Drosophila melanogaster: one gene and its partner. The protein of the gene in region 2 interacts with the protein of the main gene of each other region in a pairwise test. Each region holds a gene or a part of one and is shown on either strand. Other genes may lie near its edges.

Evidence for each region.
Region 1: the proteins of CG11893 (region 2) and Creld interact in a two-hybrid assay, tested with the Drosophila melanogaster proteins (one large-scale study listed by BioGRID).

Annotation. Positions count from the first base shown.
Region 1 is NT_033779.5:100,829-104,761, reverse strand, and holds Creld (cysteine rich with EGF like domains), read right to left. Parts: upstream 2,383-3,933; 5' UTR 2,304-2,382; coding exon 1,856-2,303; intron 1,757-1,855; coding exon 1,328-1,756; intron 1,247-1,327; coding exon 999-1,246; 3' UTR 885-998; coding exon of another isoform or gene 826-884; 3' UTR 620-825; downstream 1-619. Other genes in the region: Nhe1 (Na[+]/H[+] hydrogen exchanger 1), read left to right, coding at 1-289; Zir (Zizimin-related), read right to left, coding at 2,844-2,886, 3,143-3,513, 3,568-3,746, 3,820-3,933.
Region 2 is NT_033777.3:25,287,602-25,291,534, reverse strand, and holds CG11893 (uncharacterized protein), read right to left. Parts: upstream 1,647-3,933; 5' UTR 1,609-1,646; coding exon 543-1,608; intron 480-542; coding exon 295-479; 3' UTR 169-294; downstream 1-168. Other genes in the region: CG31098 (uncharacterized protein), read left to right, coding at 1-39; CG13658 (uncharacterized protein), read right to left, coding at 2,659-2,843, 2,909-3,437, 3,496-3,933.

The DNA of each region.
Region 1 (3,933 bases), on a different chromosome or scaffold from region 2:
ATGGGGCCAGGCAATCGACTCTGAACACTTGTCTGAACTCACCGAGGAAGAGGACGTCACCTTTACTCAAGCGCGCGATCGTTTTGGGCGCATGGATCGCAAGTACTTTATTCCGTTTTTTACACGTCGGTTCAATAGTCAGGAATTGCACGAGTGCAAGTCACAGATGGCCGACCTGACTAACAAGTGGTACCAAGCCATTCGAGTGAGTCCATTGGATTCAGATGAATCGGACGAAGAGATAGGACTAGCGGCCAGCACAAGTCAAATTCATTTGACACGGTCGTAGGGATTAAATGGCTGTTGTGGGGGGAGCTCTGTATCCGTTTCGGACTGTGTTGGATAACTTTAGAAGCCAAAGGGAACGATCGTATGTAATGCTTAAGTTCCTCTAGTTAATATTTTTAGAGTTTTTATTTATATAGCGCGGTGATGGTTGTTATCTTGTGTATATTTTTTGTTTACAAATTTTCATTTTGTAAGATCCAAATGCAATGATTCATTCGTATCACTGTAGCTCCTTTATTAATCCGCTTAAAGCAGTATTACATTGCACACGACAGATGGTCTTCAAAATGAAAATTTGGACGTCACAAAAGCACACTACGTCAGTAATTTTAGTTAAAAATATTTATTCATACGAATATATGCTGTATTTGTGATTTTATACATTTTTGAAACCAAATAAATATCTAAGTGTGGTACGTGTAAAAAAATATGGTCATGCCCTGCTTTTTGAAATTCTAATTTATAATTACATATCAATTGATAATATTACCTATTAAAGTAAAATTGGCTACAAAAGGTGTGCGTTTTTGGTTACTTTTACAATTCTTCGTGCGTGGACTCTTCACCGAGCACCGTGGAGTTTGAATCACTGCGGACTGCAAACGAAGTACAAAAATCGTTAGATGTCTTGGGGGAATGTTAAAAGATTATGCTTTTCAAAACGCTCGTGTATATCATAAAAGGAAAGCAATGTTGACATGTCTTTTGACTTATAAAGACTTCATTATTAGTTCCTCCAACTGTTTTGTATCTATTTCGGGTTGGTGGCCGCCTCCTGCCTCCGAGTTGATCCAGTACTCGGAAACAGCAATGTACCCTGCCACTGCCGCCCCAACAATGCAACCCCAGGCAATATGAGTAGAGCTCTGGAAGATGACACAGGTGGCCACGCACATTCCGAAGTAGGTGAGCATTCGCGTAAAGCTTACGTAGTTGCTGCGTTGCTCCGCAGAAATATCTTAAATGATCGGAGGCGCAATACATACAGTGGACAATGCGTTGCTTAAAAGCAAATTTATTAAATTTCTGTCTTACTTACCATGACACTTTCCTTCCTTCAACTCATAGCCATCCGCACACTTCCTGCACATGTCAGGGCCATCACCATCGCATCCATCGCAAGATCGATCACACTCCAGGCAACTAAAGGAGCCCTCATTGTTCACGCAGAACTGCTGTGGTCGGCAAGGGTTTGGACGCTGTTGCTCCAAGCACTCATTAATGTCGACACATCCTGCCTCCGAGTCCATGCTCCAGCCCTTCTTACACTTGCGGCAGCTCTTGGGACCACCTCCCGTGCAGCCTCCTTCCCCACAGGCCGCATGGCACTGTGTACACAGCAATTTCTTTTCGTCACGGAATGATTCGTAGTGCTCCGGTCCACATTCGTTGCAGTTTGGACCCGCATAGCCGGGATCACATTTGCACTTTCCGTTACCCTTTCTAGTTCCGTCTCCTTTGCATTTTCCTGAAATTTGTCATGTGGGTAAAATTAACGAAGACGGCAATCTTAAGTTGACACACTTATGTAAGTTGTGGCCTGTAATACTTGGTTATCATTACTTACCATTTCCATTGCACTCGGTGCAGGTCAGGCAGTCTGGTCCGTAGGTGTTCAGCGGACAGCAGACTGTTAGCTGATCGATGCAAAGCCATGACTGCAGGTCGGGACTCTCTGTTTGTTTGTGGATAAACCAGTCCTCGAGAAGCGCCTCGTGCTCGTTAGCCAGGTTGTGGCAGTGATCCTTGTTTATCACTTCTCCTTCCGAACATAGCTTCTCCTGGATCTCCACTAGCCGTACCTCGCTGTTCTTGTACGAACGCAACTTTTCCTCCTCCCATGCCGTGTCCCCGCCCGCGTGTCCGCGTTTTGTCCTTTCGAGTCCTGCCCTGAAAGAGCTAACAAGCTGGGTACATGCCCTGCAGGGCGGCGGAACAGGCTTTTCGGGAGAATATGACGCCGAAGCAGCGGCTATGAATACTAGCGTTGCGAGCCAACAATACTTGATTCTCATTTTTATTTATTTATTGTCTTTTTAACCGGCAAACTATCTGAGTTTACGTGTAATTAAAGCCGACACTATCGATAAATAAAAACATCGATAGTATACTCGAAAGTTTCGCGAATACCGATAGGTCGCGTTCGATACCATTGCCTCACGGAGCTCACTCTTAGTCAATCTAACAACCGTTAACGACCCATGCGAAATTCGAGGATTATCATTTTCGAATACTTCCCTTTTCTGGTAATCGACAATTAAATTTTGTTGCTGTAGGATACGATTTGTTTCACTCACTTTAACTGCACCTCCTTGTAGCTTGAAACATGTTGCTTTAACTATTTTCGTAAAAGTAAAAAAGTGTAAACTTTATTTTTTTCGCTTTTTAATATTTTGCTTAATCTATTAGATGCATAAAAAAGTTATGCTATTACATTAGCAATTATAGAGATCGATAATTTAAAATGTAAGATTTACTTAAAATAATCCGATACGCTAGACATGAAAGACCAAAAGTATGATAATTTGATTGCAGACTAAGTCGTGTGCAAGAAGTTACCATTTCAAAGGAGTACTTTTGTTGTTGTACGCGTTGGCCCTATTGGATGTATTTAGAAAAGAAATAAAAAATTATATAAGTTAATGTTTACTTTTTGCACTGGTGGTTTTTAATATAGTCATATAGTAAAGTAATATCTATATTAGGCTGGATTCTATAAATATCTAATTAAGCATCTTATGTCTATTATTTAGAGCACTCCGTTGAGGAACAAAATAAGAAAGACATGAGAATTTTAATACATATGTATACACAATGTAACTTTCCTTTTCACTGTATAACAATAAAAACTTACTTGACAACGCCATGATTCTGAACTGATGTAAGAGTAATAAAGGGAGTCAATCGTTCAATGAACCGATCGTTGTTACGTTCCAGTTCTCGTTGGTAATCTTTTTGATCTGAAAGTATTAGATTGCGATTCTTTTTCAAAGCATCAGCACAACGCTTTGAAAACTCGCGAAAGCACAACCGAAGTTTGTTTTGGTGTTTTGTCGGTACAGTTGTTCCGTCGGATAAATTGGAAAGGAACACACTCGCCATTTCCATCGGTCCTTGGTTAACAGTGGTTCCAATACATCCCTGCAGTACCATTTGCAATATTTTGGGGTCTGCTGGCTCTTGATTCGTGGCAGCTGCCAATTCCAATGTTTTTTTTTGAATATCCTAGGCAATAACGTTTAATTTTATTAACTTTTGGGATTTTACAACATAACTTACTTCAATTGCCACTTCAATCGGTTCCAGGACTATTTGCTGTCGGCTAATTACCATAATGCGAGTTTTTACGTATGGAAAGTGATTCGCCGTGGTCAAAATCGTTTTCCGTTTACACTGCTCATTTAGTTCGCCATGTGCCTTTCCATTTTTAGTAAAAGGCGTGGCATATATAAAACGTTCTGCATAAACCAAAAATGTTAAAATTATAATTTTAAATTTCGATTTAAATTATCTGTTTAATTCATATCATACTTATATTGAAATTCCGCTCAAAGTATGTCTCACGATGACGCATTTCATATGTTTCAAAGTAGGGTTCAACATAAGTAATTTGAATGTAAGCCTTATCGGGATCCAAGCTATTAA
Region 2 (3,933 bases):
ATTAAAGAATTCGAGCTATCTGGATTCTTGGATGAATAGTGACAAAGGGCTAATGAAGATTGCGTTACATTCGATCAAAAGTATTCGGGCTTCCACATACAGTAAGCTTTCCAGACAAATATTCCATGAGTATTTTACACCCAAATTAAAAAAAAAGAAAAATTTAATTTGATGATACGTTTTGTTATTTAATTTAAAGCAAAAGGAAACCCTAAAAAATTACATGGTTCATATAGTTGCGATCAATTAGCCATGCAATATATACACATTTTAACTGATAGCTTTAAAAATAGATCAAAGATCGTTAAAGTATCCCATTTCCTCATATTTACCCAAAAGCTTTTTGACATCTTGAACATAAGGGTCATAGAGGTATGATTTTTGTCTGATTTCCGGATCTTGAATTAACTCGTGTATTTTAAACGTATTCGCTTTAACGGCCACAATCATTGGCGAAAAAGTGGTTAAAAGGAAGAAGTCTGTAAAAATATTGAAGTGGTTAGGCTTATTGAAACTAGGCGATAAATAAAATAGGCACTTACCATAAAACTTGTGTCGGTGTATTTGCTTCCACAGACCATCATTGGTCGGCATCTTGCCCTTGTAGCCAACTTTTTTTAACGTGTCCTCCAAAACCGAAAAATAAAAGTTAATAAGATCCTTTCCGAGATCCCATCGCTGCTCTGGCTCCATGAGCATGTACACAGAATAACTCAAATCGATTGTAATGGGACACAGGTTACAGATTTGGAAATCTACAAACATGACCTCCTCATTTTTATTGAACATCATATTTCGGCCATGAAAATCTCCGTGACACATCACGTAGTATCCATCGGATTGAACGTTCTTGCGATATTCCTGCATTACATCACCCATACGCTGTATGTAGTTCTCTTTTATTTTCTCAAAGTGTGGCTTGTACTTTGTAAGTTCAGGAATCTGGTCCATCATTTTCAAAAAGTTGTCCATTCCAGTAGTAACCATTGGATCCGACATAATAGAAGGCATTTCCATTAGCCCATACTTGAAGTCTTTCAAGATATCAGGTTGCTCATTCAAGACTTTCATGCTAACAGCATGCCATTTGGCCAGTTTGGAGAAAACATTTTTGTATTCGTTCATGTTTATTGGACGATCTCGGATCACGAAGTATCCCTGCGGCACCAAATCCTCGAATATTAACACCTGCCGAGGCTCTAGACTGTGGTAGATACAGGGCACAAATAGCTTTGTATCGTCGCCTGCCTCCCGGAGAATTCTCTCGAATTCGGGCAGAGCCTTAGTGTAAGCATTAATCTCGGTGGAGAACAAATGTGAGTCGCTAAGCATATCCTTCTTGTGTCCTTCTTGTTCTGGCATCGTTTTAATGATTAGCGGCTTACAGAACTTTCCTTTCGAAGTGGTATACTCAGCAGTAGTACGGAACATTACGCTTGCGTAGTGATCTCCCTGGGCACTCGCCGGAGTGATTTTAAGATCGGTAACCTCCAGTTCCGGACACTTTTCGTAGGTTCTAAGAACGTCAGTAATAAACTGGGCATTCAGCCATGCAGGAGCCTCCAGCTCATCGGCATTAAATTGCTCGGTATCTGCGTTTTCTGGCATTTTTATTTCGCGCTCTCAACAAACAATTCGGAATGATGTTTGATCTGGGTATACTAAACCTTCCTATGTGCCCACTTATTATAAAGGCTGGCTAAGTGAGCTTTCGAAAGCGGCTTGAACCTTTTAACACGAAACTTTTCGATTTTGTGTGAAATACGTCTACTCAATGATCTTATCAATATGCATTGAAATCTGTTCTACAGGACAAATACTGTGATCAATAGAAACTTACAAATAAATCAGATATTTATTCTGTTCTATGAAATAATATTTAGGTCAGGTGTAAGAAGTATAAAACGCTAAAAATGTTTAATGTTAGTCCAGCTTACTGGATTATCAAATGTTTGAAGACGAATTAAATTCAAGTTTGCCCGATTTTATACAATCGTGATACAGATTTTCAAAATAACTATGTTGTTTCACTATAACTATATTTTCGAAACTGCATCTTGACAGAATGTAAGACGTAAGACCGTAATCCTTATGGCCATGGATATGCTTTTAGATTCCTGGAAGGGAACATATCTCCCTGAAGCCCACTTTTTTCAGTTTGATGTTGGAGTAAATTGGGACAATGGTATTGGAGCGCATATGTGTAGCTGATCTTGAAATCACTACTGCCACAAAGACCTCTGTTTCCTTGTTCTATTCTTTAACATCGTGTTCCGAACATGATTAGGATAATGACTTTTTTGATTACTGAATGACACATTGCCAACTTTAAGTTTATAATTTAACAGCCCTATCCGTCATGATGTGAAGTCATGATGATGTCAGCAATATTAATAAAACAAATTCCAAGATTTTATTTATAATAATAATATACATATTTGGTAAACGCAAGAAACGGATTTCAGTAAATATATATAAGCAATAAAATAATAAATGTATGTTTTAAATGTTTCTTTTAGAATTTCGAAATCAATAGCGGGAAAGAACTTTACCTTGAATGCATGCAACTTTACACGTATATGTTTGTTAATAACGAGTGCAATTATGTAGGTAAATGTGAAGTTATTTTTTTATTTCAATTAATTTTATACAATCGGATTAAAGATCTTTAAAATATCCCAGTTCTTCGAATTTTCGCAATAGCATCTTGACATCCGTAATGTATTCATCCAAAAAGAAAGACTTTTGTTTCGTTTGCGGATCAAAAAATGAATCCATACTTTTAAATGTTTTCGTATTCATGGCAGCCACCAGGGGTAGAAAGCTGGTCATCATGAAGAATTCTATAACGATGTAACAAGGAATAAGCATACAAGTCAACAGCTGTCTTTCAATTTTAGTTCCTTACCGTAATCCTTATGGCCATGAATATGCTCCCACACTCCTGTCTGAGTTGGCATTTCACCTTTGAAGCCTATTTTTTTCAGAGTGTCCGCCAGAACAGAGAAATAATAATTGATATATTCCTTTCCAAGATCCCAACGATCCTCCGTATCCATTACCATGAAGATGGAGTAAATTAGGTCAATGGAAAGGGGGCAAACATTACTGATCTGGAAATCCACCAGCATTACGTCCTCGAAAGACCCTGTTTCCTTGTTATACCTAAACATCATGTTGCGCCCATGAAAATCCCCGTGACACAGCACGTAGTACCTATTTGGCTTCGGATTAGTGCGATATTCTTCCATGACTGCACTCATCTGCTGAATGTAGTTATCCTTTATTTTTTCGAAATACGGCTTATATTTCGTGAGTTCCGGAACCTTGTCTAACATTTCCAGGAAACAGGGTACTCCAGTTGTCACTATAGAATCGTTCAGAAAGTTGGGCATGCCCCATAACCCATACTTAAATTCCTTAAGAAAGTCAGGTCGCTTGAAAAGAAAAGTTCTTACTTTGTTATCTTTTGCAATGGATGGTGCACTAGTTCACCTCATTTAAAACTTTCATGCTGGCTGCATGCCACTTTGCCAACTTGAAGAAGGCTTTCTGAAGTTCTTCTTTATTAGGATAACGATCTCGGATGACGGTGTACCCCTGTGGCACCAGATCCTCGAATATCATCACCTGATGAGGTTCCAAGCTGTGATAGATACAAGGCGCATAGAGCTTGGTAGTATCCCCTGCCTCCCGGAGAATTCTCTCGAGCTCTGGAAGAGCTTTGCTGTACATTAAGATCTCCGTTTTGAATATCGGCGAATTTGACAGCATATCCTTTTTGTGACCTTCCTGTTCCGGCATTGTTTTAACTATCAGTGCCTTGGAGAAATTCCCCTTGGCGGTGGAGTAGTGGGAAACAGCTCGGAACATGACGCTGGCATAATGATCTCCCTGCAGAGTCGCAGGACTAATTTTCAAATCAGTTACATG